7 linked regions of the Xenopus tropicalis genome follow. The protein of the gene in region 4 interacts with the protein of the main gene of each other region in a pairwise test. Links are inferred from orthologs where the notes say so. Each region holds a gene or a part of one and is shown on either strand. Other genes may lie near its edges.

The links.
Region 1: the proteins of mid2 (region 4) and syt17 interact in binary tests that used the Homo sapiens proteins (3 or more experiments, as listed by UniProt). The two-hybrid records come from large-scale screens. The link is inferred for Xenopus tropicalis from reciprocal best matches to the Homo sapiens genes MID2 and SYT17.
Region 2: the proteins of mid2 (region 4) and bysl interact in binary tests that used the Homo sapiens proteins (3 or more experiments, as listed by UniProt). The two-hybrid records come from large-scale screens. The link is inferred for Xenopus tropicalis from reciprocal best matches to the Homo sapiens genes MID2 and BYSL.
Region 3: the proteins of mid2 (region 4) and hoxb9 interact in binary tests that used the Homo sapiens proteins (3 or more experiments, as listed by UniProt). The two-hybrid records come from large-scale screens. The link is inferred for Xenopus tropicalis from reciprocal best matches to the Homo sapiens genes MID2 and HOXB9.
Region 5: the proteins of mid2 (region 4) and slc25a48 interact in binary tests that used the Homo sapiens proteins (3 or more experiments, as listed by UniProt). The two-hybrid records come from large-scale screens. The link is inferred for Xenopus tropicalis from reciprocal best matches to the Homo sapiens genes MID2 and SLC25A48.
Region 6: the proteins of mid2 (region 4) and spg21 interact in binary tests that used the Homo sapiens proteins (3 or more experiments, as listed by UniProt). The two-hybrid records come from large-scale screens. The link is inferred for Xenopus tropicalis from reciprocal best matches to the Homo sapiens genes MID2 and SPG21.
Region 7: the proteins of mid2 (region 4) and trim54 interact in binary tests that used the Homo sapiens proteins (3 or more experiments, as listed by UniProt). The two-hybrid records come from large-scale screens. The link is inferred for Xenopus tropicalis from reciprocal best matches to the Homo sapiens genes MID2 and TRIM54.

What each region holds. Positions count from the first base shown.
Region 1 is NC_030685.2:32,728,667-32,733,498, reverse strand, and holds the start of syt17 (synaptotagmin-17), read left to right. Parts: upstream 1-1,549; 5' UTR 1,550-1,607; coding exon 1,608-1,622; intron 1,623-4,832. UniProt on the Homo sapiens protein: Plays a role in dendrite formation by melanocytes.
Region 2 is NC_030678.2:70,760,725-70,765,424, reverse strand, and holds the start of bysl (bystin), read left to right. Parts: upstream 1-1,340; 5' UTR 1,341-1,358; coding exon 1,359-1,617; intron 1,618-2,731; coding exon 2,732-2,894; intron 2,895-4,700. Other genes in the region: med20 (mediator of RNA polymerase II transcription subunit 20), read right to left, coding at 1,181-1,194. UniProt on the Homo sapiens protein: Required for processing of 20S pre-rRNA precursor and biogenesis of 40S ribosomal subunits. May be required for trophinin-dependent regulation of cell adhesion during implantation of human embryos.
Region 3 is NC_030686.2:12,098,127-12,102,827, reverse strand, and holds the start of hoxb9 (homeobox protein Hox-B9), read left to right. Parts: upstream 1-1,648; 5' UTR 1,649-1,758; coding exon 1,759-2,266; intron 2,267-4,701. UniProt on the Homo sapiens protein: Sequence-specific transcription factor which is part of a developmental regulatory system that provides cells with specific positional identities on the anterior-posterior axis.
Region 4 is NC_030684.2:40,259,128-40,263,953, reverse strand, and holds the end of mid2 (probable E3 ubiquitin-protein ligase MID2), read left to right. Parts: intron 1-3,241; coding exon 3,242-3,650; 3' UTR 3,651-3,953; downstream 3,954-4,826. UniProt on the Homo sapiens protein: E3 ubiquitin ligase that plays a role in microtubule stabilization. Mediates the 'Lys-48'-linked polyubiquitination of LRRK2 to drive its localization to microtubules and its proteasomal degradation in neurons.
Region 5 is NC_030679.2:25,197,809-25,202,028, reverse strand, and holds part of slc25a48 (solute carrier family 25 member 48), read left to right. Parts: intron 1-1,104; coding exon 1,105-1,362; intron 1,363-2,466; coding exon 2,467-2,600; intron 2,601-4,220.
Region 6 is NC_030679.2:116,209,967-116,214,186, reverse strand, and holds part of spg21 (maspardin), read left to right. Parts: intron 1-157; coding exon 158-303; intron 304-972; coding exon 973-1,081; intron 1,082-1,993; coding exon 1,994-2,101; intron 2,102-3,819; coding exon 3,820-3,960; intron 3,961-4,220. UniProt on the Homo sapiens protein: May play a role as a negative regulatory factor in CD4-dependent T-cell activation.
Region 7 is NC_030681.2:162,394,428-162,398,647, reverse strand, and holds part of trim54 (tripartite motif-containing protein 54), read left to right. Parts: intron 1-2,304; coding exon 2,305-2,477; intron 2,478-4,220. UniProt on the Homo sapiens protein: May bind and stabilize microtubules during myotubes formation.

The sequences.
Region 1 (4,832 bases), on a different chromosome or scaffold from region 4:
GTCTTGTCCCATTGTAGTTGCCTTGCTCTGAAGGAGGAGGAGTTAGTGTTCTGGATATTATGTTAGACATCTGCTCACTCCAGCCTTTATAGATGAAATCTTTGCCTAACTAACTATATTGATTTTTTATTTTATTTTGCACAGCCTATCTATTTACCCAGTATCATTTTTACACTAAACTGTTCCATGAATACAGTGATCGGCAATCAGTGGCTCGCGGGCAAGATGTTGCTCACCAACCCCTTGAATGTTGCTCTCAGTGCTCCCAAACCAGGTAGTTATTTTTGAATTCCTGACTTTGTGGTAAGTTTTTGTTGAATAAAAACAAGATTTACTACCAAATAAAGCCCCCTGTAAGCATGTGAAGCTGCCTAATAGCCAATCTTAGCCCTTATTTTGCACCTCCATGAACTTTTATGATGCTTGTGTTGCTCTCCAAGTCTTTTTACATTTGACTGTGGCTCACGAGTAAGAAAGATTGGGGACCCCAGCTTTAATACATTATTATTATTATTACTAACATTTATTTATAAAGCTCCAACATATTCCGCAGCGCTGTACAATAAGTGGGTTTTATACATTGGACATACAGAGTAACATATAAAGCAACCAATAACTGATACAAGAGGTGAAGAGAGTATGCATGGAGTTACATGGCCTATACACCTAAACACATTTACATATATTTATACAAGTTCATAAAAATAAAATATGAAAACAATAACTGAATATAAATAAATGTAATTTAAATTAAAATAACAAAATAAAAAGGTTATAATGTCACCTTGCTTAAGGACTATTTACATTTCTTATTTGACTCTATACCGATCATTATAAGTCATTTTTAAACATGAAATCTATGTTAATTTAACATAGTGATCTGATTAAAAATGCTCATTATCAGCCTAAACTTTACCAAAAATAAATAATAATTTTTAATCTAAACTAATCATTTTTAGAATTAAAATAGACAGATGTTTTTTTCCCTTTTTCAAATGATGAGCAAAATATCCCTTTATTGAGATCTATATTTGCCTGTTGATAGATTGACTTTTAAATGGCTGGGGTGGGGGAGAATGGTAATAAAAGTAATGATGTTGTTTTTCCCTCATTTCTGTCTTGCATCTGAGATACAAATACATAAGCCCTCAGGGACTTCAGAGCAGAGGAAAAACTAAATACAAAGCTTATGCACAGTAAGTGGCGACACTGAGTCCTCAGCCGAAAGATAGACATCATTCAAAACAAAAGAAAAGAAAGAAGGAAAGAATAGACACAGGGCAGACTTCTAATTAAAGCCACAAAGCCAGAAAGTGACAAAAAAGAAAGCAGGTACCCAGGGGTCGGGCTATACAGAAGGTTCAGTCTGGGAGAAAATCTCCATAACCTGCAAGGTACATCTGATCTGACATGCAACACACAAGTACAAATAGGCTTTCTGCTGAGAGAAAGTGTCATCATGAAAGAGGGGGAGGACCGAGCAGCCCTGTGCTGATCAGCTAAACAAGTCACGTCTTTTTTTCCTTGTGAATGTTTTGAGGGCAAAGATGGGAGAGAGGAGCACCATGCTCAGCCTAATCTGGGAACTAATGGCAGTTTGAGTGAAGATGGCGTATATACAGGTAGGTGCTACCTGCGCTTGCACAGGATTAAAATGCAGTGTAAATGTGTTCCATCAGCTTTTAGAACTTACACAGCCTGTGTCTCTGTGTGTGTGTGTGTGTGGTCAAGCCACCAGTAGAACGAAGATGGGAGGTGATGCTAGAAAGTGGATAAAAATACAATAAAAGGGGATAACATGTTTTTTTTATTAATGTGTGAAATTGAAATTTAAAGGAAAACCCCACTCCTATAAACAGGGCAGGTGAAACTAAAACTGCAGTCATGATTTATATCTATTTATACATTGTTCTGTATGTGCAACAGTTAATCTCACCCGACAGGTGCAACCAAGTTTTCTGCTGTGGGAAACTAGAAAAAAAAATACAATACATGATTAAAAAAATAAACAATTACATTGTAATTACATTTTATTGTTACTGAACTAGCTTTTTTTCTACTGTTAACCCTTTCAGGTTACAGTAGCTACAGACCTACAAGTAGTTAAGTTATTTGACATTTTAGCTATTCAATAAGCAAAGTTACTTGTTAAATATCATCATAGCTTAATGAATCTAAGATCTATGCAGCCAGCTGTGCTGAGTGTATCTTAAAAACATGACACACTTTGCTAATTACCCTGATGCAGGCTCAAGGCAAACCTTTTCTGCTTTACATCTAACGAAAGCTGCTTTAGTTTTGAGCTGGGTGGAGCGGAACATTTGATTGGAAGTCATGTTTTGATACCAAGTCAGTTTACATTGGAGGCAGAGAGACAGCTGAGGAAGGAGGGGTGAGATGTCCTTGTAAGCAGCAGATTTGCATTTGTCTCCATTATAACTGGATAAAGAATGATATACTTTTTATGGAGGACAACTGTTGGACATGAATATTGATCATGGAGATATTTTGATTTGGGAACCCTAAGCTGCAAGCTGCCTGTATATGAGGGTCCACATAAATATGAATATATGTTTATTTAGTGGCCTAAGGGAAGATGCCACCTTTGGGTACTGGACCACTGGACATGACCAATTGTATATCAGCACACCTTGGTATCTCCTGTACCTCTGGCCCATCATGTTGGCACCATGCAGAGATTGTTAAAGGAATACTGTCATGGGTAAACATGTGTTTTTCAAAACACATCAGTTAATAGAGCTTCTCCAGCAGAATCCTGCATTGAATCTGTTTTTCAAAAACACAGATTTTTTTTATATTTAATTTTGAAATTTCACATGGGGCTAGCCATATTCTTCATTTCCCAGGGTGCCACAGCCATGTGACCTGTTCTCTGATAAACTTCAATCACACTTTACTGCTAAGTTGCAAGTTGGAGTGATATCCCCCTTTTCCCAGCAGCCGATCAGCAGAACAATGGGAAGGTAGCAAGATAGCAGCTCCCAGTAGATATCAGAATAGCACCCAATAGTAAATCCAAGTCCAGCTTGGGACTCCTCCAGTTACATGGGAGTAGGAGAAACAATAGGTTACATGAAAGTGTAGTTTTGGCTCCTTCTGGGAGCTCAGAATCAGGCACAATGCACTAAGATGACTGCCTACACACCAATATTACAGCTACAAAATACATTTGTTGGTTCAAGAATAAAATTTTATATGGTAGAGTGAATTATTTGCTATGTAAACAGTGTAATTTAGTAATAAAAAGTATACCATAAAAAAACATGACAGTATCCCTTTAATTACTTGAATTATGCACTATGGTCAATTTCTGAATACAGTTAGCTTGCCTGTTATTTTTGGAGAAAGTGAGAAAACAGAATAAATGCAAACTCAGTGTAGATAGTGCCTAGCTTGTAAATGAACGTAGAACCCCAATGCTGAAACCTCTGAGCCACTGTGTTGCCTTTATTACATCCTACCTGCAAAGGAGTATTTTATCTAACTTTTAGCTTCATACAGACATCATTATTCCCTGACAATTTGCTGTTCATTTGTTTATGTGTGTGTGTGTTTTTTATGTTCCTTGTTTTTTTTTTGGCAACTCACAAGCTTGGAATTTCCAATGTTGTCTGGTTTTTAGAACTTATTACCCTTGCAACAAGGTATCATTTTGGAAGTCAGGATGGAAAGTCAAGTGGGTGGGCCTAAAAAGCAAGGTAATTAAAAATGAGAATAACTAATTAAACAGAAAAGGGCAGAATAGGAATGCTAATCTTTTAAACCATATTAAATAAATAATAGAGACCAACTGACTCTAGCTTAGAATAAATTGTCTGTAAATTATGATTGTACTGGTAGTTCCTTCATAAATATTGTATTACTAATTGTCATTTATCAGGGACCCAGTTTGCTTAGCTTATAACAGACATTTTCCAATGGATGCCATTGAAAAGTGCACATATTAAATAAGACCTGTAAGCCACAAGTGTTTCTATTTTGTGAATTTGAAGTTGTAGAGTCCTTTGCCTCTGCACTCAGAACAGGAAGTGATGTCATGCAGAGACATGTTGCTTCCTGTCCTGGAAAATAGTTGTTCCCCTATTGTTACACTATTGCTGCTTTGTGTAAGAAATATATTTTCCAATAAATCAGCAGAAGTTTGTTTTTTATGATTTTGAATACAACTGATATTTATGTTGGTGTAAATACTCCAAAAGCTTTAGTATTCCGATTTTTATTTAATTGGTAGCCCCAAATTATATACATTATTGTGCACTGTATTTTAGTCTTGTGTATAAGGTAAGCTGATCTTGCACAAATATTGTTAAACTGTATCTTCCATTACCCTTAATGGCCAGCCCACCCACCTAATATTAAGCTATGACTGCCAGCACCTCCTGACATCTTTTCACTGTTGTGGGAAACAACAGAGTCTCATTCTACAACACTCCCAAAAGACTCTTCTTCCAAAGCTTGTTGATCAGGGCAGGGGTGTAACTACAGAAGAGGCAGTGTCTGTCACTGCAGGGGCCCCTGTGGGACACTGATTGATAAGCAGCTTAATAAAAAAAGGTCTTCTCCTCACAGTTTGGGGGGGGGGGGGCTAAAATGATTCAGCAGTGGCATTCAGTAATTCATTTAGTGAGTGGATGATCATGTGCCAAACAGTGAGATAACCCCCCCCCCCCCATAAGGCTTAAACCTTGAATTGAATTATTTATTCTAAAGCTCAAAAAAGATGAGGTTTAAGGTAGAATAATTATTTGCTCTCCTAGATTGTCCCGGAATCCCGTCCTCATAGTCATTTAGGTTAAGACTTAAAAGTGGAA
Region 2 (4,700 bases), on a different chromosome or scaffold from region 4:
TATCTGTTAGCTGCTATATAACCTGTGCCTTTTCTTCTTTTGAATGGCTGCCCCCATGTCTACACAGCAGGGTTTATATAAACTCTAGTAATGTTTCTGAAGCAAACACACAACTTTTACCAGTGCAGGGCAGCAGTACATTATAGTTTAATTTCTTTAAAATATATACATTTTTGGTGTTACTGTTCCTTTAAGATGACTCTAAAGAGGGCAAAGAAGTTAAGAAAAACAAAATCTCTCTTCATATTACCAGTGCAGCTAAGCAAACACTGGCATGTATATTGTAAGATGTATCCAGTATGGCAGCATCATGGGCACTCAAAGGTTTAGCGTCACCAGAAAAGATTTTCAAAGCAGCAATTTGGAGGTGTCCTAATATTTTTGTGAAGCATTAAAAAATGTTTCTGCTTCTGCAGATTTTGAATAAAAAAGTAAAGTATTTTGCAGCATTTGGTATGTGTATGTTCCCTCCCAATTGTGCGGACTGCCATGAGAATGTGAACAGGAAAAGAGAAAATCTATATCCAATTTACTGTGATTTTCTTTTCCTGGAGCATTCCAATGCATTGTGGGTTATGTACAATGGTGGCATTTGGAGGATGCAGGCTGAAGGCAATCATACAGCAATAGGAAGTATGGTTGCTGCCTAGGCAAAAAAAGAAATCATGGCTATTGTTAATGTTATTTATAAGAAAGGAAGATAAACATAAGACAGATATATTTTGGTATAGTATATCAGTCTTCCTATATTCATAACTTTATACCCTATTAATAACATTGGCATCCAGCACATTTTTTTTTTTACCAGCAACGCTATTGGGGGTTCAAAATTATCATTAAAAAATTCTATTATTCCTTAACAAAGGCAAAAAAAAATCCTGAAAATAAGAGGCAGAATACATTTTCAACAGGTTATATTTACAGTGTTGATTTTTAAAAAAGGATATCTTTTAACTGTCTCCCTATTACCCATAGCATTCTTAGTGTGATACTGCACTGCAGTGTTGAATTCGTAGGATTCCGTTTTTCTATAATTAACAAAGCAGCAGTCATGCAAATAAGTAAGCGTAAACTTAGTTTACAAAAGATAAAAACAATCCAGAAGTTAACACGTATCTGCAAACATCAAAATGACGTTTCTTCTTTTTCTACTACTACATTAAAAATGACAAACACTTACCAAGTCACTCCCATGCTGGTACTTAATTGTACAAAACACAGCGACGTGTTATGACGTCACGGCGCTCAAAATTGTTGTCATTATTTGCGGTTCACGCAAGTCCCACATCGAGGCGTACGATGCCAGGGGAATAGGAGCATGCGCAGTGTGTGGATCTATGCACGTGTATGTCAGGAAAATGCCAAAGCACAAAAATTCTCGGGGAGCTGCTTCTCGCTTACTCCCCTTAGCTGATCAGATCGAACAGGAGGGAGAAATTAGACCCTCGTTCCGTAATAAGCGCAAGGGGAAACCTACAGACGACGCCGAAGATGATGGATACGTGGACGAGAAATTGTCCCGAAGGATTCTGGAGCAGGCCCGTATTCAGCAGGAGGAATTGGAGGCCGAATATAGTCTGGGGAATGTGACCCCTAAAGAGAGGACAACTGTTTTAGGTAAAAAAGGGTAAAGAAACATTTCCAAGGCAGAATACAAAACAAAAGTTTTTAAACCGGTATATAAAATCAGTGGGGAGTCTTTAGACTGAGTCATAACCAACAACTAGTGCTGTAGTTGTAAATACATAGAAACGAGTATGGGACAGTCTTAATAATCCATTAATGTAATCCATTTAGGGCCAGATTATATTGAAATTTTGCCATGCAAAAAAAGTCTACTGGGGGCCAAAGAAATGCTCAAATGCTCATTAGCTGGTTCAAATTGAACATTCCAGGTATATAATATGATACAGTCATACACATATAAGAATATTTGAAAAGTTGTACATAAATAATTTGCTAACTTCATTCTGTGATAAAATGAAGGATATCTAATGTGCTGTTTTATATGCTGATGCATCTCCATGCAAACACATGTGCAGTATGAAGCAAGGAGGGAAAGGAAGGGAGAATACCTTTTTAGAGATGGCTGCCTGTTCTAGAATATGTGAAGTAAGTGTGACTGAGTAAATATTTGATTAGGTGAGCCAAAAGTGTGGCATTTTTACTAAACAATAGGAGGACTATTGGGCAGTATGCTTTTTAAATTTTGACTTGCATTCTCCTTTAATGATTATACTCCACATAGCATATATACTTTAGTGTATATGTTATAAAAGACCGGAATCATGTGTGCAAAAATGGATTGTACACTGCACCTTCATCTTAATTTTTAAGATTTGATTTTATCAAAAATGTTTTTAGGACCCTTTTTAAATTAAAGGTACCATACAGGCAGTGCTGCTTTCTAGTTCTATTTAGCCATGACAAGGTACAGTATGCTCAGTTATACTAGCTGTAATTAGAACAAAAAGTGTGTAATATAGCCTAACATGCACTAAATGTATTCAGACTGTGACCCTTAACTCGCATTACAAATATTTCATGTTCTCTTGGGCCTACCCTGGGAATTGTTTGGAACCGGTGCTCCACAGAAACAGACCTTGTAGCATTCACTAAGTACAGTCTGAATTAACTTATTTACAAATTAGAGGTCATTATTTCTTCATATTTATCTTTGCTTGTATATTGGCAAATCAATCATTATCTTTTGTAAATCCTTGCCCTTCAGATTCCAAGAACAGAGCAGAGGGTTCAGACTCTGAAGATGATGAGTGGCCTTCATTGGAGAAGGCAGCCAGTCTGGAGAAAGGTACCCTCAACGAGGAGGTACAAATTAACCCTGAAGATGAAAAGGCAATGGAAATGTTTATGAATAAGAACCCTCCACTAAGGTAAAGTAGCAACTATCTGGAGACGCCAAGGGTTACATGGGTCAAATAAAGCCGGGCCAGAACTTGGGGTAGTCAGAAGGGAGCAACGATGTGGGGGTGTGACAGTTACCTCTTCTGCCTACCCCCTAGTACACACACTATTGCCCCAGCTGCTTTTCTCGCATCCTACCCGGGATGTCAGTGCACTTTCTCATGTACACACATGAGAGGTGGGGTGCAGGGTGGCCAATTGGGTTGCCTAGGGTGCCCGGTCGGCTTGGCCAGCCCCTGAATAAAATAATCATTAATAGAAATACTTTATAGCAAAGATTACGGAACTTTATCCATACACTATCATTTGTGAAATTTAACAGGTCTGGATATGTACATTTTAGTCAAAAGATGATTTTGAATAAAAACAAATTAGTGATGAGTGATTCATAACATTTTCAACCCTAACCTGCTGTTTTCCAACCCAGCTTCTACTATAACTTTTATGTGGTTCTTCTCCGATGACTCTTATATGGGTGGGACCAGTCACCACAGGAGATGGGTTAGAATTAATACATCACCTGGTTGCAGTTTTACCTGCCACCCTCTTAAACCCGCTTCTAGGGCTTGGTTCTCGTGGGTTTTGAGTCATCCCATTTATCCCTAGTGTGAATGAATGCTTAGTTTACCTATAGTTGCAACCAGTAGAGCAAAATGAAACTGAATTGCTGTCTCTGCTAATTTCTTTAGTATATGGCTTTACATAATGACAAACCCCTCCATTGTTTCTAATCCCTCTATCCCTCCTAAAAGGGGTGTAACCATGTATATTCACAGCCCAGTCACTTGTTTCATCTCACTAGGTCTCAGTGATACAAATTATATCCTAATTGTCAGTACATTCAATAGACTCCAGCTCTTCTAATTTCCCTGACAAGCTCTGTGCATTTGCCAGCATGCCGTGGAGGTTACTATTTTTCCCTCTAATATTTACATTACAGAACTAAGAGTTAGATCTGAGGTTACTATTAGGGGTTTTCCATGTAACAGAGGAATCTCCTTAGCTGGTAAAATGTATGTATCCTTGCTTATCCCACTGCCAGATCTACACTAGCTTTCCCATAACCCCCCCCCCCCTGCCTTTTTTAAACACTCCTCCAGCCTCTTAGCCATTTTTTTTCCCCAGCACAATGGACCCCCATTCCATTAAGGAGCAATCGGTCATGGCTGTATAGATTGTACCCCAAAGAAAAGTCAGCCCAGTGTTCTAGGAACCCAAACCCTACAGCCAAACATTTAGCTCCCAAAGCTCCCGCTGTTTCCCTAAACGTTGCACGTGGCACAGGCGAAGCTTCAGAAAAAATTACATTGGAGGACTTTTTTTTTTTTTAGAGCCTAGGTTCCTGAACTCACTCTTTAAGGTCCTCCACCTACCATTTATTTTGTCATTAGTACCAATATGTACCAAGACATTTGGGTCATGCCCCACCCAATAATTTGTCAACTTGATCAACCACATGCCAAATCCTAGCACCAGGAAAATAGCATACTGTCTGGATCGCTACAACCAGACAGTATGCTGATTTCCTAGCACCAGGAAACCAGCATACTGTCTGGTTGTAGCGATCCAGTCGATAGATAACCCTGTCCACTTTCCTAATAATTGAATCCTTTATAACCACAATCTGTTTAGGCCTAGCTCTGCTCTCCTTCCCACCACTACTAGAGAAACTGGTCTTCCCATCTATAACCACCAGTCCAGAGCTCAAAACAAGTTAAAATTGCACTTACAAGGCATCAGAGACTAGAAGACGTGTCACAAAACTTCTCAGGTCC
Region 3 (4,701 bases), on a different chromosome or scaffold from region 4:
TGTGGGGTTACTGGCGCAGTTTTATATATAAATACCCATATTAGTGTATAATTCAGCAGGTGAGTATAGCAATATGACAGAGATGAGTAAGGGGGCAGAGAGTAGAGGATGTTTTGCTGTAATTATGAATTGGGAGGGTGCATAGGATATATACAGGGCATAAATAATATTAAATGCAATGGAGCAGCGCCAAGGGATAGCAGCGCAAAGCAGGTGCAAAGTGTTATATACAGGCAATGGCTCATGTAAGAAATAATACAATGTACGAATAATACAATATAAGCTTGTAATTATGGACAAAATGTTTGCCCCATGTTATGGTTGGTAAGCTGTTATATAAATGGAAAGTAACCATGGGGTCACAGAGTCACTTATCTTGGATAAAGCTGCACCATATAAAATGCCTGTGAGTTATAAATATTTGGTCACAATATGGGACAGTGTGTAGGCACCATCTTATATTTGTATCTTTGGCAGAGAGAAATGATATAGTGGGGTCACAGTGTCAGTAGCGCAGTACAGAATGGCAACACCTGGCAGTATATAAGCTGTAGGCATTTGGCATAATATGTGACTGTAAAAATATATTTATTGGATGAGAGGCAGGGCATAAGTAGTTATACAGAAAGCAAATGGGATCATAGTGTCAGTAGTGCAGTGTAGGATATAAATATGGCAAATTACTACTTATATATCTGATTATATTATGGGCCAGTCTGTAGGCCTCAGCCACCACTTTAAATCAGTGCTGCACAGGGTACAGGCAATTGTATAAAGTTAAAATAAACAAGCAGACATAGTGCTAGTAGTGCAGAACATACATATACATGCTGCAGGGCTGGGCACTGTACAATGGTCTGTAACTGGTGACAATTTGTGGTTACCATTTCATACTAGTGCAGAGAAATAAACCAGGGTCATAGGGACACTAGCACTTTGGCACAATGTGAGTAAATAGTGTTACTGGGTAGGGGAAGGGCAGTTAAATAAAATTAGTGTAAGGTATCAATCAGCAGTGCCTCCTAGGAAATGATTGGCACCATATACATTTTGCAATATCTGCCATTATATGGGGACATTGCCTGGGAAATACGGTGTATTCATATGAATAGAAACACAATTCCAGATACAGGGGGCATAAAATATCCACATCCAATATCCACCTAATTGGTGTCTGTTATTTTGCATATAGTCAGTGTAGGGAAAGGGGCCACTAACTATAAATATACTGTTTATAATCCGTACTGTACAAGCCAGACTGTACGCAGCCGCCATGCTATGGCAGCGAGAGGCACCGTTCTGCTAAATTGCGCACTGATTTGCGCACACGGCCAATTGCGCACAGCTGAATGAGAGACTGCTGCGCCCTCCCAAGCTGTTGCACCCAGACCCCCCTGTGCCAGATTGTCTTGTGGCTTCACTAAAAGGCACCAGAGCCTGCACAGAAATAGGTGTCACCCAAGTTTCAAATTGTTGGCTGAGGAGTGCGTTGTTGGTCGGATCTCAGGCGTGTCCCAGCCCTCATGCCCATAAAACAATGGCTCCCAGATATGAATGCTGACAGCTCCGTGCGGCCCCTCCGATTGATGAATAGCCCTCTGACGCTTTATCAGGCACACGGAGAAAGTTTGACCAATCATTTGCCAGGAGCTCACACGCCAGCAGCCCAAGTGCACCGAGTTGGCGAGCAAGTTGGGAGAGGGGAGAGCTCCTATATCTTGTTCCCTTCAATGAAGCTGCTGAGTAGGATGCCCGAGAATGGCCATTTCTGGGACTCTCAGTAATTATTTTGTGGAGTCAATAATAAGCCCTGAGAGTGAGGAGGCTCCAGCAGCCAAATTCTCTGGACAGTACCCCAGCCCCCGGCCAGCAGCCCATTCAGCTCACTCTGAGCCCTTGGACTTTCCCTCCTGTAGTTTCCAGCCCAAAGCTCCTGTATTCAGCGCGTCCTGGAGCCCTCTGAACCCCCACCCAGCCAGCCCCCTGCCTTCTGTCTACCACCCCTACATCCAGCAGGGCGCCCCCACTCCGGAGGGCAGGTACTTACGGGGCTGGCTGGAGCCGCTGCAAAGAGCAGAGAATGGACCTGGCCAAGGAACTGTGAAGTCTGAGCCGCTGCTGGGGCCCCCGGGGGAGCTGGACAAACTGGGAGCCCAACAGTACAATCTGGGCTCGCCTGCTGCAAGAGAAGATGCCAATGAAAGGGCCACTTTCCCGGACAATAAACTGTGTGAAGGAAGCGGGGACAAAGACAGGACACATCAAAGTAAGTTCTGCACCGAGGAAGTGGGAGACAAAAGCCTAAGGGGGCAATAAAAGGGCAATATACCGTCAGGAAGTGTATGTGCTCCTGGCCAGCAGGGCAAACACAGGGGAGAGCCCCCCAGGCACCGGCAATAGCCTGAAATCTTTCCACCTTGTAGTCACCCAGCCGCACAGGTAGTTAAACAAGCCACAGTATCCATCACAGTAGCCAGGAACATTTATATTTGTAATCAAATCCCTCCTCAATATTTATATCTCAAACAAAGTTCAGCCACAATATTTCCACCCTCAGCCACAATAACTTGGATCCAAATCAGCCATAATATTTGGAATTAGCCCCAAGATATACCCCCCAAGGCAACCCCTGTATTTACACCATATCCCCCCAATTAAACAGGCCACACGGTAAACTAACACTTTCCTTATATCGAATAAAACTCCCCCCAATTATATATATACATTTCAGCCAGAGCAGTGCGACTTTATTGCAATATTACTAGACTCAAATCAGCCCCAGTGTTTATACATTACCGACAAATCAGCCACAGGATTTATATTTTAAACCATAAGGCCCCATGTTATTGGCAGAGGTGAAATACTTATATTTATATCTACACGAAATATTCAGCTAGGAAAATCCTTGGCTAAATATTACAAATCCCCGACGATAATAACACGGATAACTTAGCAGCACAAGGAACCACAATCTGTAAAATATACAGGAGGGGGGAATATCCAGGCACAGTTAATATTTGTAGCAGAAACGTTCCCAGAATCTAAATTTTCTTACCAAATTACCCATAAGATCGGGGATTTACAACAAGCCTGCCCCAGCCATTATATTTCACAGCCTTACGAAAATATTATATTAATATCGCCGGCGATTTATATATTTAACCACTGGAAGAAGACGGGAAAAAAAGAGCTTCCAATATTTAATATACCGTATTAAAGGTACATAATTCATAATATATATGCCCTACAGCAAAGTATCTGGCAGGCAGCATAAAATAGTTTGTAAATGCAAAATGATCACCTCTTGTATTAGTGCAATTCCGCCGTGCGATCTGTTTGGACGATTGTACAGCCATTTATCTGGTCGGCACAGGTGAAAATGATTCATAAAGGCAACCGATCCCATTTGCAAAATCACCACTCTTACGAGGTGGATGTGTTTATGGCACCTAGTACCTTTTTATATTTCCCACTTAATATTAAGCAATTGCAGATGTAATGATCGGTTTAAAAGCATTTTACCTTGATAAATGAGGGTATTATGCATGGGAGTTAAACTGCACTTTAAAAACCATATTCCACTAAACTGGGCACGGATCCAGAACAAACTCCACAATAAAAGCCTTGGATGGAGAGAGTGGGATTTGCAGCTTGTGGATTTAATATCCGTGCAGGCTGACAAAACGCTGTGAAGAATTGCGCGTAAACGTTTACGCAACGGTCCAACCAAAGGAATTGGGGAGATCGCAGGCGATTTTAGCAAAGATTGTTGTGCTGAGGGTCAAAGGGAAAGGCCAGTGTACCCCCCAATGTGATATACTGCCTATTATTTCAGGGTGATTGATCAGAATCCAGCTTTAAAAAGTGCCTGTTTTATTTCCAGATAATAGTAATATGGAGCGGAATATCACTTCAGTAGTGAGAATTTTTTTTTATTATTATTATTTTATTATTATTATTAATACTAATAGGGATAAATAAATGATATTTTCTGGAATCCACCCCTCACACACTCATACACACAGGCAGCAATGCTGATCAGTAGTCGTGTTCGCTTTATTAAATATTAACTTTTTAATTCACTTTCATATTTCATTCCCATGCAAATGATTTAGAGACTGAGCAGAAAAAGAGACACCAGAGTTAACACAGGGGGGACTGAACCCTTACAATCCGCCAGGCAGGGCCAGACAGTCAGCCAGGAATATCATGTATATTTTATTACATTAATTTGTATGCGATCAGGGGCTGGAATCGTGTGTGTGGCTTGTAATTCCTACTCTACCATTTCCATCGGGGTTCAGGAACGGAGGCGATATTAAGGCTAATAATTATTGTCCTACTTGAAAAACTCTGCCTTTGTTAAGCTGCAATGGGACTGCTGTATGCACAGGACATAAAGCTTATTCCTATTAGCGGAGCTGAGCCATGCCATAAGCACATCCAGGGGCTTTTATGCTTTGCAAATTCTTCATTTCGTATGGAAATACCAGCCACAATATATTTCTGTTACTAATTAGTGTGTGTGTGTGTCCTTGTTACTTACACACACAGAGAAAGATATACACTGCTTATAAAATAATATAAATATTTAATATATAAATATAATATATATTTAATATAGTACCCACAATGTGGATATATAATATCTCTCTATCACACACACTCTGGATGTTTTATATACCACACACACACTGGATA
Region 4 (4,826 bases):
GGATAAAGTACCAGTTACAATGTAGGATTTCAGATGTATGCTGTTCATTCAGTAAATAGATTATAGTATAAGGGTATAGCATAGCGGCGTGATGGGCAGATTGCTCCTTGACATATGGCTTATAATGACTCAGAACTGACTGTAGACCTTAATGGCAACAGTGATAATCACCATGAACAGCTTGAGTTTCTCTGCTTCATTCTATAAAAAATATATGGCATCCTTATGCATTAATTCAGTTTTACTGAGAGGGAAGGGTCTGTAGGCTTTTTCTTCATACATTACTCGAAAAAAATAAATGGACAATAATCATTCCCCTGTAAGAGCTCTGTATAGTCATTTATTAGATTGGGAACCCATGGGTCAGCCCATCTCCAGTCTTCTAGTTATGGCTGTTTGTGCATTAGTGGCCCCATGCCTGCATCTATTTATTTGCCTTTACGCTAGGTCAGCTTCTCAGCTGCCGATGAGCCCTGTGATCCATTTACTTCAAAGCCAACCCAATGAAGGCTGATAGCTGCCGCAGTATTCTGGGGAGCTGCAAATGTACCCTTAGTTATGTATTTAGGTATAAGAGGCCGCCCGCTGCCATATCTAAGCTGGGTGCAACCTGCTCCTTGCTACTCTCTGTATTATCAGTGCAGTGTAGCAGGAGCAGGTTGCCCAGGGGTAGGGTTTCCCCCATCCAGCAAAGTGTTTAATAGTTGATGCCAATCCCATTTAATAGGGAAGAAAGGTAAAATAGGAAAGGTTCCAACGTACGCAGGTGCCCAGGGGTATAAATAACAGAGACAGGGTCCTCACTAAAGGAATTGCAGCTGATTTCATGCCTATGGTTTCTGAGGTGGGGGTGGCCCTATAAAGAATTTGCTTTGGGGCTCAATAACATCAAATTACGCCGCTGCACGTTAAATCACTGAATGCACGTCTGAGCAAGTTATTATAACTTTTAATGGCCCTGTGTGAATCCTGCACTCTCCCTCTCCCCCCCGGGTCCTGCACTATGTGGTCAGTTGGTTCCTGACAACTCCTATTACAATGATGCTGTCGGCTCGGCTTTAAAATCTCACGCTGATTCTGTTTAACATGCAGCGTGCAGTCCTCAAACATTCATTTTTAATAAGGTACATAGCACTTCAGGCTTCCTAAGCGTAAAATTACCCCACTCCTTTCTGCAGAGGTGTTGGTAATGTTCAGGTTGCAGCAGAAAAAATGTGTTGTGCAGAGTTAATAGAATAAAAAGCCACCAGCAAAATCCTTGATTTGTGCGGACATATTACCCAGAATCCCATGCAAGTGACAGTGTGCGGTTAATGCATTTTTAACATTGTTGTGCATTAGTCAGGGTCTCGGCACAGATACGCAGAGGCAAAACGTTTACTTTCTGCTACCATTAAATGACACTTAAGACAAATCTCTTCTCGTCAAATAAACAGTGAATTGATTTGCTTTTTCCTCTCATAATTAGATTAACGCAATGATTTCAAAGGAGGAAGGGTTGACATATCGGTCAAAGAGGGATGCACAATGCATTCGGTTATTATTCTGCTTGTTATGACAACCTGGAAAATGTTGTAAAATATATATATATATAAATAAATTACATCACTAAGCACAGATATAACTGATGACATTACCAAGCACAGTTTTAAGGATATATAATTATGGCTCTTGTTTATTATATATCGCTTTTTTACAATGTCGTGCAAGGGCTCATTTTTCAAAATAATGCTCCTCCTGTCTTTTTTTGCCTTCTTTATTCTCCTAGTTTACCGTATTTTGCGTGACTTTTTTGTCGCTGTTGGGATTTTTTTGTATTGAGCGATAGTAAACGATGGAAAAACCAATCCATTTTTTTTCGCAACGGCGACGAAAAAAAGTCGCAAAAATACTGATCATTATAAAAAAACGCGTTCGGATGCTTTCGATCCGTTCGTGGATTAGTAAATCTGCCCCATAGTGTACTATAATGCACTTGCGTCCGGGTCTGGCTGCACTCTGCACCCCATGCCGGATAGGGTTGCCACCTTTTCTTGAAAAAACTACCAGCTTTCCTATATTTGTATGCTTTTTCCCTGTTAATAACATTGGAATGAAGAATCATTTTTTCCTGGCTAGGCTGGTAAAATAATGGGCAGGTGGCAACCCTAGCGCTGGATTGGAAATCTATCACTAAGTGCAGATTGCGTTGGTGTTGGACACTGGGCAGCCTTGTGTAACTGTGTGGCAGGACGCCTACTTGCCTACACCCGCCCATCATGAAGGCAGCAGTCTGTTCACAGGTGGAGATACAGGTCTTTGTGCTCCGTTTTTGTGTGCAGAGACCTATTACAATTTTTTAAGTTTCAGAACAGGGCACAAACTGCAAAAAACATGGGTTATTGTGTGCACCCTGCCCTGCACTTAATAAATTACCCCAAGAGGATCATCTGTCCTTCCCTTAAGTTTTTTTCCCCTGTTTTGTTCTCATACCGTAATCTGAACTGATCATGATATACAGCATACAAGGCCAAATGGTGAGTGAAGGGCTGAGTTTTTCTTGTATACTGGTGGGCCTATGTGGTATATGTAAATTGTCTTTTCATAGCACTTGTAATAGACATTTTAGCTTCCTGGATCTTATAGTGTCACCTTATTTGCACCTTTGTTGAGGAACTCTGTTTGCATTGAAATACAAGAGTCCTTATTGTCATGTGTTTACACTGGGCAAGTAAAATTGCTCGTGGGTATTCTCCCACACACCAACATATCTGCCTTGAGTGCTTATTTTTTTTTTGGGACACTGTGTTTGGTATGTACAGGTATCAGATCCCTTATCCAGAAACCCGTTATCCAGAAAGTTCCAAAACACAGAAAGGCCATCTCCGATGGACTCCACTATAAGCAAATAATTCTAATAATAAAACAGTACCTTGGACTGGAGGCAAAACAATCCTGTTGGGTTTATTCAATATTTAAATGAATTTTAGCAGACTTAAGTTATGGAGATCCAAATTACAGAATAATCCCTTATCCGGAAAACTCCAGGTCCCAAGCATTCTGGATAACAGGCCCCACACCTGTACTATATTATATGTTTTAATATGTTTAAAAATGATTTTGTAATTATACACTACATTTGTATTAAGGGAATACCCCTCCATCAATTGTTTCAAGTAAAATGACTCAAATATAAAGACTGCAGCAAGGAGCATATATGTTCTGGTTTCGCCTTTTTACATTTGTTTTTCTCCCCCTCCAGGTATGCAATAGGAATCGCCTATAAATCCGCTCCAAGGAATGAGTGGGTTGGGAAGAATACCTCCTCGTGGGTCTTCACTCGATGCAACAATAATTTTCTTGTAAGACACAATAACAAAGAAGCTCTTCTGGATGTGAATCCTCAGTTGAAACGTTTAGGTGTTCTCCTAGACTATGATAATAATACACTTTCCTTCTATGATCCAGCCAACTCCCTCCACCTGCACACCTTCCCCATCTCCTTTATTCTCCCTGTGTGCCCAACCTTCACTATATGGAACAAGTCTGTGTTGATACTCTCAGGACTCCCTGCTCCGGATTTTATGGACTCCTTTATGTCTCAGCCGCAAGAAACTATATCCAGACCTCAGGAGTCTCCCTATGTTTCTGGGCTTAAGGGTTGCCAGTAAATGAGACTTCTTCATCCCCAAGGACCAACTTCAACATGGCTCATTCAGCAAAGGACTTGGATGGGAAATCTAGCCCCAGGGAACAAATATATCTGTAGTTTGTTCAGTACAAAGACTTCTTCACTCTTCTTTTAATTCAAGATCAGAAAGTAGCTCTGTGTATTTTCTTATATAATGGCAAGCAGAAAGCAAAAAAAAAAAAAAAAAATTACACTGTATTTCTTCCAGGTATTATTTATATTATTTCCATACAAGCTGACCTTTAAATAAACCTTTACTATGTTAGAGAGAGACCTATTATAAGCAATGTCCCAGTTGGTCTTAATTTTTTTTTATTTCTTCCCATCTGCTGCCTGGTTGCTAGGTAAATAAGCTCTAGCAACCAGATAACTGTTTAAAACAGATGCACAACAGAAGATGTAGATAATTCAGAGGGCCAGTTGCAAATTGTCTTATAATGCATGGTCTGAATCATAGTAAAAGTTCATTTTAAGGCAAATTTCTCCCCTTACGGTTGCAAACAATCTTTGTTGCAAAATGCCAGACTTTTCAGCCACCTTCCTAGTTCATTTAAGGTCTTCCATCATGTAGAAATGTTCTAGAAAGGACCTGTGCTTAGCCTAAGGTGGAAGTGTTACTGTGACACAAGTGCACCTACAATATAGGGGTCATTCACAATCTGGCATTTTTTTGCACTTTATCAACTGCGTTGGTCATTGTGTAGCCACTGGCCTCTGTGGACTGCTGTTTGGATTAAGTGCGACCTGCATTGGGCATGTAGGCTTCCTCCCCTCCCGCTCCCTATCTTGCACAAGCACATTACATAAGTGGAAGAAGCTGCAGCTTGCTTTGGGACGCCGTACTTAACGCCTGCCTAAAGGGCTGGGCTGCATCTCCTGACACTGCTTTCTGCATGGAGCACTGTATTTCTAAGAGCTAGAGAGATACAACTGTGGGGACACAATGCTGTTAAATGAGCACAAACACATTATAGGAGCCAATGGGGCTCCACTGTGAACCACTGAATTAGGTGTGACTTGAAATCAGCACTTCCATGCAAGTAAATATTTAATGGGGAATGTGGCGGCAGTCGCTTACCACCACGTACATTTTATGGCTAGCACTCAAAAATCTTTTTCCATTAAAAGACACTTTATTAGATCATCTCAGTCCATG
Region 5 (4,220 bases), on a different chromosome or scaffold from region 4:
GATGGCTCATTGTGTCCCAGCATGTCATTATATTTAATGGACAATATACACACATACATCCACCCATCAGTAAAATATATAAACACACACATATACAGAATATTCACATCAATACATAAAACTAGAGACACCTACATCTAAATAGTTTGTATAAAATACATGAACATTGGAAGGTATATCAACTTACTCAAAGTATACATTATTTATATCATTACACCTGCCATAATTAATTTAATTCTTCTCTTCTTTGTATTGCTCTGTCTCTCTCTTCCTTCCTGGTTTTTCTTTTTCCCACCACCCAGTTTTAACCCTTCCCTATTTATCATGACATACCCTTTCTCTCCCTTTTGCTCCCTATTTAGTTTTCTTTGCCAGTTCCTTCTGTCCATTATTTTGCTTCTCATCTTCTATTGCTACTTTATTGTCTTCTTCAAACTTTCTTCTCCACTATTCATCTTCTGACCTCCCATTCTCTCCCTTTTTCAGTTCTTTTGTTGCCCTTCTCACCTACTCTATGTGCTTATTTTTTCCTGTTTACCTTACATTCTCCCACTCCTTTTGGCCTGCTTTTACAGAGGCAAGTGCCCCACAATACCCTACCTAGTTGGTGTTGCTGCAACCATATTTACTGTATTTATGCCAATAGCCACATCTGATATTTGGTGCCCAAGTCTTCAGCTGTTGCTGCTTCCTGTACAAAAGGTTACAAAATAAATAAACCTACATGTGTTTATACTCATGGGGTTGAATTGAAGGTTGGACAGAAACTTTGGACTAGTAGCATAAATGTAATATATGAATTGTATCTACAGGTCTCAAAAATGTCACCAGTGGGGCTACCCATGTTTACCTTTTTTTAAAATCTCCCCGAAAAGGAATGTCAGGGTAAAGGCGATTTTCGAGATATTTGTCACCTGGGCAATTAGTTTATTATTTAAAAATCTTACCTTTTCAGCATTTAAAGCCAACAATAGTCATTTAAATATGAATCTATGATAACGGAGAATTTTGTGTTATACAGACAATTGTAATGACAGAGATAGAGACTGAAATATATTTCTTTACAACTTCTTTTAAGTTCTTTATAATTCTTTCTATGTACAGGAAGAAGATCACTAAACCAGACACAAGTGCCACATAAATGGCATGCAGTGTACAATGGCCCAGCACATTGTATGAGTTGTATCTTAAGGCAAGAAGGCATTGCAGGGATGTACCGGGGGGCTGGCGCTATGCTCCTTAGAGACATTCCTGGCTACTGTTTATACTTTATCCCTTACACGTTTCTATGTGAATGGATTACTTCAGACCAGCACAGAGCACCGAGTTCCTTTTGTGTTTGGATAGCTGGTGGGCTGGCAGGTATGTCTTTAGTGATAGTAAAAACATAATCATTTCAGATAAGCCCATGTTGAAAGATGCATAAAGCATAAACATTTGTTTAAAAGATAATTTGTAGTTGGCAGTTTTATTGTTTTTAATTTTATGATGGATACAGTAGGACAATTTGAAATTGGTCTTCATTTTTAATTTTGCATTTTCAGGTTTACATTTGTATTGTGCAACTGTCAGGCTTGGGATTTTAACAACTAAATAGTTGCAGAGAAATAAACAGCGCTTTCATACTGGCTCTTTTTGTTAAAATAGATAAAAGGTAGAGCTCACATAAAATGGATTGCTGGAAGGTGGCCATATACAGTATATTGTCACTTGTGCAGTACCTGCAGGCTGATTTGTCATATACTATAGAACATAAATCCCCAACATGTTGCTCACCACCCCCTTTAATGTTGTTTCCAGTGGCCTCAAGTAGGTGCCAATTTTTACATTTCTGGCTTGGAGGCAAGTTTTGGAAGCACAGAGACACAGTTTTACTCCAAGTAGAGCCTCCTGCAGCCCAGCAGTCCCCGTGGGGCTACCAAATAGCCAATCGCAGTCCTTATTTGGCATCTGCAAAGAACTTTGCTTGTGTGGCTCACCAAAACTTTTTACGTGGCTCATAAGTAAAAAAGGTTGAGGACCTATGCAATAGAAAAATGGCCAGTGTACAGGCACCTTAAGACCCTGGAAGGGGTTAGGGCTTTAAAAGCTTTGGGGTCTGACCTTCTGATAGGGGAAAGAAATAACCCGGTGAGTACATGAAGATGTAAAATAAGATTGCATTCCCAAGTTATGGCATTGCATTTGCAAAGGAATAAATGCAGATAATATGTACCTTTAACATAACCAAAGAATAGAAGATCAAATAGCCCCAGGCAGTATGTTTTGACTGCAACATAGTTTATTTTAGCAGTGCAAGCACACCACATGTTTATATATGTTGTATGCTTACACTATACTAAATAAACTACATTGCAGTCAGAAGATACTGCCTGGGGCTGTTTGATCACCTATTCTTTGGTTATCCAGTAAAAGCAAAAATCATGGTTAGTATGACAACATTTTTTCTTTAATTTTTTACCTTAGGGGCATTATCATGGGGCACAGCAACGCCCATGGATGTAGTAAAAAGTCGTCTTCAAGCAGATGGTGTTCATTCCACTAATTATAAAGGGGTCACAGACTGTATTACCCAAAGTTACCAGAAGGAAGGTATTAGGGTAAGTGTATTATTAATGCAATAACCGGGAGAGCTGGGAAAAAGAAATAGAAGAATTGTTTGTTTAACTATAGAATGTTAATGCTGTGTTGCATATTGAATAGAAATATATACAAATATAAGACAAACAAAAGCCATCAGGAGCAGGAGGAAACCTGTGTGTCCCTTACCATATTGTAAACTACATAAATCCGAACAACATTATCTAGTGCTTTTTGCTCCTTTGTGGAACTGGTCCCTACTGGCTTCTAATTCTAAAGTGAATCTGCTTTTAAATAGACAGGGTCTTTGTATAACTGAGATTAACAGGGGAAATAGACACATGACCTCTTTAAAAAATAAGAAGGGTATATCTCATTAAAAAATGCTTTATACAGTAAATGCAAAGTGTAAAGGGAGAGAGGTAATTGCTGCAAATGACACAATTGGTGCCACTTTATATGGTTGATCTATGGAGGCAACTATTGCCTGGTCTAAATGTGAATTTTTCAGAGACCTGGGGACCAGTGGGAACCTCTTTGTTAAAAAGTGCAAAATTATACCTGTGCACAGTCACTCACTTCATTTACATGTTGGCATAAATCCCATATTCCTTCACTAAAACCTGCACACACAGTGCAGTCTTTTAACTAATTAGTTAGCTATTGCTGAGTGCATAGATTCCTTACCTACTGCCCAATCACATATGCCAGAAGTTGAAGAAGCCTGACCACTGCCACCCTCTGTCCTGTCTACTGAACTGTCCAGGTTATGCAGAACATAGAATGTGTGTGTGATATGCCCACTAATGTCATACAAGCCACTGACTTAGTTGAATGCCTCTAGGCGGCACACAGCCCTCTTGATCCTGCTCTTCTTCCCTGCCAGTTCTCTGTTAGAAGTCACATTGAGAATGTGTATTTTTGGCCCATATTAAAGAACTCAGACTGCAGCCCATTGTCACTATGTGGAACTGTTACTGATATTGCTCTTTACTTTGCTTGATGTTATGACACTAAATGACCACAGTGTATGTATATGTATGTATATCTTTATTTATAAAGCGCTACTTATATACGCAGTGCTGTACAGTAGAATACATTAATACAAACAGGGGGTTATTAAGCTAATAATAGATAAATACAAAGTATAACAATAAATTCAAATAAATACAAGATACAGTTGCAATAGGTTAAGATTCAAAGACACAAGAGGATGGAGGTCTGTATACAAGAGTGTGTCTGTATACATAGTTTAAGGCAGGGATCTCCAACCTTTTTTACTCATAAGCCACACTCAGATGTTAAAAGTGTTGGTGAGCCACACAAGCTTGAAAAAAGTTCTTTGGGAGATGCCAAATAAGGGCTGTGATTGGCTATTTGGTAGCCCTATGTGGACTGCTGGGCTGCAGGAGGCTCTGCTTGGAGTAGAACTTCTCTGTGTTTCCACAACTTGCCTCCAAGCCAGAAATATAAAAATGGCACCTACTTTGAGGCCACTAGGAGCAACATCAAAGAGGTGGTGAGCTCATAAACCACTGGTTGGGGATCACTGGTTTAAGGGCTTGTGCTTATTGGCATACAAAATATTGTCATTTTACTTGTGGAAGCTTGAAAGTGAAGGAAAACAGGTGTAAACAGAT
Region 6 (4,220 bases), on a different chromosome or scaffold from region 4:
TCAGTTTGATGCATTAATGTGAGGAAGACCCTTGCCATTAAACAGTATGATGGCATCAGGCAATTCTGTGCCTTTAAATATATATTAGAATATGTCCCACTAATGCCAGGCAAGTGCATGCTCATATCTGCTCACTTGTTTTATCTGTTGCTTGCAGGTTCATCTATTTGGAGCATCTCTTGGGGGATTCCTAGCGCAGAAGTTTGCCGAGTACACTCACAAATCTCCCCGAGTCCAGTCCCTTATACTCTGTAATTCATTCAGCGATACCTCCATTTTTAACCAGACTTGGACAGCAAATAGGTAGTGCATTTATCACTTTACTGCTTTGTGTTTCAATTCTGCATAAAACAGTAACCCTTACACAACCAAAGGCATCATCCTATCCCTGCATAAGAATATTTTTAGTGTCAGTAGCTGCCAGAAGGAAACCTATACAATTATAAAATGGAGGTTGACTTTTTTTGTATAACTTGTAGTGGATAATGCATTTTTAGTGAGGACAGTGATGGGGGATAAGTGGTGGGTAGAAAACACAGCCAAAAGTTGGATTAACTGGAAAGTCTAATTTGGTTTACATCTGGGCTCATTAGCATTAGCACCAGTACCCCTGGGTATGAGATTACAAGCTACATTAAGCGCTTATTAATTTACAGGCGCTCGATACTTGCTATTTCTCCTTCTGAGCTGTTTTTTCTGAGTGTTCAGCCAGGGGCACTAGGGTTGATCAGGACTGGTAAACTGATTGGAGATTTCTCACTTGTTAATTTCACTGGGCTGTTTTAATTAGAAAGTACAATGTGTGGAATGTGGCATAATGTGCAGTACAGAAAGATCAATGTGGTTATGATGTATGTAGGTGTTTATTGCCTCAGAATACCTACTTTTGAACTGTGGATGTGGCGTGGGTGGTGGAATTATTTTCTTAGTTGTGTCCTTATTTTCTGACAACTAAGATATTTCTCTTTTCAGCTTCTGGTTGATGCCAGCTTTCATGCTCAAGAAGATACTGTTAGGGAACTTCTCCTCTGGCCCAGTGGATCCAGTAATGGCAGATGCCATTGATTTCATGGTAGACCGGGTAAGAAAGAATGATGCATCTGTTTCCTAAACAAACATTTCATTTATGAGCTGGAAACCAAACATGCATAATAATATACAGCCAGCTGTCTATGGGTATATAGATATAATACTGGCACAGAAAAACAGCTTTGCCTGGGTTTACTATAAAGAAGCATGGCTAATGCAGAGAGGCTTTATCTTATACCAGTATTCTATCTACAGCTTATTACTTGGCTTGTGGGGAATAGATGTAAATTGGATAATGCAGTCTCTGAAATTAAAGGGTACAAACTACTATGGAATACCAAAGAGTGTCTAGTTGCTTTCTCACAAGTACAATTTTTTGTACAAATAAAAACATTTATTTTTTAAATTAGGGGCAATAAGTTTCCTATAATTTTCCTTTTACTCTCTATAAATGTGTAAACTCTAGTACTATGTTGTTAATAATAATACAGGTATGAGACTTGTTATCCAGAATGCTCAGGACCTGGGGTTTTCCGCATAAAGGGGTCTTTCTGTAATTTTGTTCTCCACCTGCTAAAAAAATATTTAAACAGTAATGAAACCCAATGGGATTGTTTTGGCTCCATAAAAGGATTAATAATATTTTAGGATCAATTATAAGGTACTCTGTCTGATTATTACAGAGAAAAATGAAATAATTTTTAAAAATGTGAATTATTTGAGTCTATTGGAGATGGCCTTTCCATAATTTGGATAACGGGTTTCCTGATAACTGGTCCCATATCTTAAGGCCTATAGAGGCCTTCTTTGTACAGTTCTCTTTATTGAGTGATGCAGTTGGGCTCTAAGAGGTGATCTGCCCAGGAACATTTCTTGCCTCAGAGTGGGAGTTTTATGTGAAACCATTTTTGGGAACTTAACACAGATGTGTTATGCAACTGACTGTCATTTTTTGTGCTTAAAGCTTGAAAGCCTAAATCAAAGTGAGCTGGCCTCTCGACTGACCCTCAACTGCCAGAACGCTTATGTAGAACCTCATAAGATCCGTGACACTGCAGTTACCATCATGGATGTAAGGCTTTTTTTTTTAGTTGACTATTTATTGCAGACGTGCCTTTTATTTTGCTGTTCTGACGTTTATTTGCATATTATTTGTCTCATCAGGTTATGGTGTTTTTTAAAGAGGGGTACAGATACCGGTAATAAAAAGTAGAATTTATGGTACAGGCTGCCGACATTCAAAATAGGCCCTGGCATTTCAAGTTACTTAAAAGCCCCCCAATAAAAAGCACTGGTCTATGGCAGCTTACATCAGCCCTTCTGCATTTGCAAGAGTTTCCTGATTGCCAGTCTGGGCCTGCTGCTAAGGATCTGACTTTCCATAAAGTGACTGGATTCTGTGTTTTCAGGTTTAGTTGGGTGATACACAATGTGGGGCTAGCTCCAATTTACAATTTGTAATCAAAAGAAAAGGTTAAAAATAGACGGTCATTTAAAAACACAAATAGCATTATGTAACAGAAGACACTAACTTTGCCCAGGTGCAGTAACCCATAGCAACTAATCAGCAGGAAGCATTTACTTGTTATGTGTGTAAAAAAAAAAAAAAAAGAAAGCATTTACTTGTTATGTGTGTATATAAGTTAGGCACATCTCCCCCACCCAACCCACACTATTTGTATTGCATATATCCCAGACAAAAAGTTGCTTTGACCCGGCGGCCATTCTCCATCTCACACATCTTCAGTGGCATTAACATTTGCAAACAGCACATGTGCCCTGTAAAGTTCATGCAATGAACAATGCAGGCTTACACAGGCAGAGCTTACTTTGATTAAAAGTCCTGCTTGAATTGAGCCCTGTAACGGTTAAACTGAGTGGAGGTTAGGAGGAAAAAAACCATGTCTCTTTAGCAGAGAGCACAGCTAGAGCAGACTCTAAGGAAACCAGCAGTGCCATCTCTTCATTGGCCCCAGAATTGAGAAGAACTGAGCATGCTCAGCAAGCCAAAGTCCGTTCCTAAGGCAGGGGGTTACAAGAGGAGAAGGGACCCAGGTGATTAAGGGGATGCTGCAGCCTTACTATTAACCTTTGAACTTCCAGAGTGACGGGTATTTAAAGATTTAACAGTCTCAGTTATATAATGATCATTTGCAACCAATTTAGTAGTGAAAATACAATGATTTAATAGTTCTGCAGTGATCAGGGAATGTTAGACATGCTCTTAAATTATGTTGGTATAAATGCTATCATCTATGATAAAAACATGCATGAAAAGTGCAATACATTGGAAGTAACGCCAAATAAGGGTGAAGACACCCAGAGCTACTAGTAGCAGCTACTTGTCACGGCTACTAAAATAGACTTTGCTTATCATGTACTGATATCTGTCTCTACGTGTGTTTTAGCAGAGGCAATTCTCAGTATTGTCTATGGCAGGGTATTCTCTGGTGACAAGTAGATGCTACTAAGTAGCTCCTAAAGGTTTGAAAGTGCATCAAGCATTTATAAAACTAGAGACTCCCAGTTAAAATTAAAATCTTTCAAGGACGTGACGGCTGTCTGGCGAGATCGGAAGTAGCTGACAGGAAAGGGGTCTAAAGGGTTTTAATAAGCAAAAGCTTATTATAGGAAACATTTACAGACAACATGGCACAGCTCTGTGTACAGATTTTGGCCAGAAAAACTCGAAAGCATGCATTTTCATGTCCAAAATTTGCTCAGTGTAACTGCACAGGCCAACCATTTTTCTATATGTGTTTTGACTGAATGAAACCTTTATCTTGGCAGGTGTTTGATCAGAGTGCACTTTCCACAGATGCCAAGGAAGAAATGTACAAACTGTATCCCAATGCCCGCAGGGCTCATCTGAAAACTGGGGGGAATTTTCCATATCTGTGCAGAAGTGCGGAGGTCAACCTTTATGTGCAGGTATTCCCTTGCATTACACATTGCTCTAGTTTACTTTACAAGAACGTAATATAGCTGTGTCTCTTTTGTGCTTTGCAGTCTGCTGGAGTCTTAAAGGATAAGTTAACCTTTAAAAATTGAATGTAAATTGATGAGAGTGCTATTCTAAGCACTTTTGTAATTACATTCATTATTGTTTTTTGTTGTTTTTTATTCAAAGACGGATAAATTATTTTTAATATGAATACATTTTGTTATAACAGCACTTTCTTACTGTGATG
Region 7 (4,220 bases), on a different chromosome or scaffold from region 4:
AGACTCCATAGGAGGAGGAACAACATAGAGAAGAGTCAGTAGGAGGAGGAACAAGATGTAGGAGACTCAGTAGGAGGAGGAACAACATAGAGAATAGTCAGTAGGGGGAGGAACAAGATGTAGGAGACTCAGTAGGAGGAAGAGCAACATAGAGAAGAGTCAGTAGGGGGAGGAACAAGATGTAGGAGACTCCGTAAGGAGGAGGAACAACATGGAGAAGAGTCAGTAGGGGGAGGAACAAGATGTAGGAGACTCCGTAAGGAGGAGGAACAACATGGAGAAGAGTCAGTAGGGGGAGGAACAAGATGTAGGAGACTCCGTAAGGAGGAGGAACAACATGGAAAGAGTCAGTAGGGGGAGGAACAAGATGTAGGAGACTCAGTAGGAGGAGGAACAACATAGAGAATAGTCAGTAGGGGGAGGAACAAGATGTAGGAGACTCCGTAAGGAGGAGGAACAACATAGAGAAGAGTCAGTAGGAGGAGGAACAAGATGTAGGAGACTCAGTAGGAGGAGGAACAACATAGAGAATAGTCAGTAGGGGGAGGAACAAGATGTAGGAGACTCCATAGGAGGAGGAACAACATAGAGAAGAGTCAGTAGGAGGAGGAACAAGATGTAGGAGACTCAGTAGGAGGAGGAACAACATAGAGAATAGTCAGTAGGGGGAGGAACAAGATGTAGGAGACTCAGTAGGAGGAAGAGCAACATAGAGAAGAGTCAGTAGGGGGAGGAACAAGATGTAGGAGACTCCGTAAGGAGGAGGAACAACATGGAGAAGAGTCAGTAGGGGGAGGAACAAGATGTAGGAGACTCCGTAAGGAGGAGGAACAACATGGAGAAGAGTCAGTAGGGGGAGGAACAAGATGTAGGAGACTCCGTAAGGAGGAGGAACAACATGGAAAGAGTCAGTAGGGGGAGGAACAAGATGTAGGAGACTCAGTAGGAGGAGGAACAACATAGAGAATAGTCAGTAGGGGGAGGAACAAGATGTAGGAGACTCCGTAAGGAGGAGGAACAACATGGAGAAGAGTCAGTAGGGGGAGGAACAAGATGTAGGAGACTCAGTAGGAGGAGGAACAACATAGAGAATAGTCAGTAGGGGGAGGAACAAGATGTAGGAGACTCCGTAAGGAGGAGGAACAACATAGAGAATAGTCAGTAGGGGGAGGAACAAGATGTAGGAGACTCCGTAAGGAGGAGGAACAAGATGGGGAAGAGTCAGTAGGAGGAGGAACAACATGGAGAAGAGTCAGTAGGGGGAGGAACAAGATGTAGGAGACTCCGTAAGGAGGAACAACATAGAGAAGAGTCAGTAGGGGGAGGAACAAGATGTAGGAGACGCAGTAGGAGGAGGAACAACATAGAGAATAGTCAGTAGGGGGAGGAACAAGATGTAGGAGACTCCGTAAGGAGGAGGAACAAGATGGGGAAGAGTCAGTAGGAGGAGGAACAACATGGAGAAGAGTCAGTAGGGGGAGGAACAAGATGTAGGAGACTCCGTAAGGAGGAACAACATAGAGAAGAGTCAGTAGGGGGAGGAACAAGATGTAGGAGACTCCGTAAGGAGGAACAACATAGAGAAGAGTCAGTAGGGGGAGGAACAAGATGTAGGAGACTCTGTAGGAGGAGGAACAACATAGAGAAGAGTCAGTAGGGGGAGGAACAAGATGTAGGAGACTCTGTAGGAGGAGGAACAAGATGGAGAAGAGTCAGTAGGGGGAGGAACAAGATGTAGGAGACTCTGTAGGAGGAGGAACAACATAGAGAAGAGTCAGTAGGGGGAGGAACAAGATGTAGGAGACTCTGTAGGAGGAGGAACAACATAGAGAAGAGTCAGTAGGGGGAGGAACAAGATGTAGGAGACTCTGTAGGAGGAGGAACAAGATGGAGAAGAGTCAGTAGGAGGAGGAACAACATGGAGAAGAGTCAGTAGGAGGAGGAACAACATGGAGAAGAGTCAGTAGGAGGAGGAACAATATGTAGGAGACTCAGTAGGAGTCATAGCCCCCATGATGGCATGGCCGTGCTGTCGAGGCCCCGCCTCATCTCCACCCCCATGACATCACCCCTGCCAGGCTTTCTGATCCGGCAGGGGTGACAACTCTACAACAAGGTAGGACTATTGTTGAAGCCCCTGTGTATTTGAGGGTAGAATTGGCACTGGGTGTTGGTTCTTGTCTGGAAGTGGTTTTAATGTATTAACCCAGGAGAAGGCCTCTGTATGTAGCATTGGTGGTAAAGTGCTGCATGTTATTCTGTATATAGGGGGGCAAAATCTAATTGGTGTCCTTCTGCCCCCAGGCCTCCAATCCTCTGTGGCAGTCACGAGGATCCAGCACTGTCTCCTCAGGGGGGCGATTTCGCTGCCCTTCATGCCGCCATGAGGTGGTGCTGGACAGACACGGGGTGTACGGGCTACAGAGGAACCTACTGGTGGAAAATATCATTGACATTTACAAACAGGAATCGAGCAGGTAAGTTCTGTGGGATTGGGACAGGGGCATTTATTGGTGCATAACGTACATAGGAAAGGGGCATTTACTGTGTAAGAAGGAGATTGGCTTACCTGGTAAATCCCTTCTGCGTAAGCCCATACTGTCAGTCTAGTTAAGCTCCTCTCTGGAGGCTGGACAACCCCTCAATGATCTTGCGAAGCTCCTCCTCTTCCTGTGTCTCCCTCTATCCTATCCAAAATCAGATGGAGAAGAGTTAAACACAACAAACCTGTCGAGTCAAAGTGTTTCGGGAAGGCCAGGTACCTACAGGTAGATAGTTACAGGTAGATACTACTCCTTGTGAGGCAACACCCCCGAGGGAAGGCTCAAGCCAAGGATAGACAGGGAAAGCCCCCCCCCCAGTCACCCTGAGGAGCGGGGCAACACCCCGAGGGAAGGCTCAAGCCAAGGATAGACAGGGAGAGCCCCCCCAGTCACCCTGAGGAGCGGGGCAACACCCCGAGGGAAGGCTCAAGCCAAGGATAGACAGGGAGAGCCCCCCCAGTCACCCTGAGGAGGCGGGGCAACACCCCAAGGGGAAGGCTCAAGCCAAGGATAGACAGGGAGAGCCCCCCAGTCACCCTGAGGAGCGAGGGCAACACCCCCGAGGGAAGGCTCAAGCAAGGATAGACAGGGAGAGCCCCCCCAGTCACCCTGAGGAGCGGGGCAACACCCCCGAGGGAAGGCTCAAGCCAAGGATAGACAGGGAGAGCCCCCCCAGTCACCCTGAGGAGTGGCGGCAACACCCCGAGGGAAGGCTCAAGCCAAGGATAGACAGGGAGAGCCCCCCCAGTCACCCTGAGGAGCGGGGCAACACCCGAGGGAAGGCTCAAGCCAAGGATAGACAGGAGAGCCCCCCCAGTCACCCTGAGGAGCGGGGCAACACCCCCGAGGGAAGGCTCAGCCAAGGATAGACAGGGAGAGCCCCCCCAGTCACCCTGAGGAGCGGGGCAACACCCCCGAGGGAAGGCTCAACCAAGGATAGACAGGGAGAGCCCCCCCAGTCACCCTGAGGAGCAGAGCAACACCCCGAGGGAAGGCTCAAGCCAAGGATAGACAGGGAGAGCCCCCCCCCAGTCACCCTGAGGAGCGGGGCAACACCCCGAGGGAAGGCTCAAGCCAAGGATAGACAGGGAGAGCCCCCCAGTCACCCTGAGGAGCAGAGCAACACCCCCGAGGAAGGCTCAAGCCAAGGATAGACAGGGAGAGCCCCCCCCCAGTCACCCTGAGGAGCGGGGCAACACCCCGAGGGAAGGCTCAAGCCAAGGATAGACAGGGAGAGCCCCCCAGTCACCCTGAGGAGCGGGGCAACACCCCCGAGGGAAGGCTCAAGCCAAGGATAGACAGGGAGAGCCCCCCCCCCAGTCACCCTGAGGAGCGGGGCAACACCCCCGAGGAAGCTCAAGCCAAGGATAGACAGGGAGAGCCCCCCAGTCACCCTGAGGAGCGGGGCAACACCCCGAGGGAAGGCTCAAGCCAAGGATAGACAGGGAGAGCCCCCCCAGTCACCCTGAGGAGCGGGGCAACACCCCGAGGAAGGCTCAAGCCAAGGATAGACAGGGAGAGCCCCCCCAGTCACCCTGAGGAGCGGGGCAACACCCCCGAGGGAAGGCTCAAGCCAAGGATAGACAGGGAGAGCCCCCCAGTCACCCTGAGGAGCGGGCAACACCCCCGAGGGAAGGCTCAAGCCAAGGATAGACAGGGAGAGCCCCCCCCAGTCAC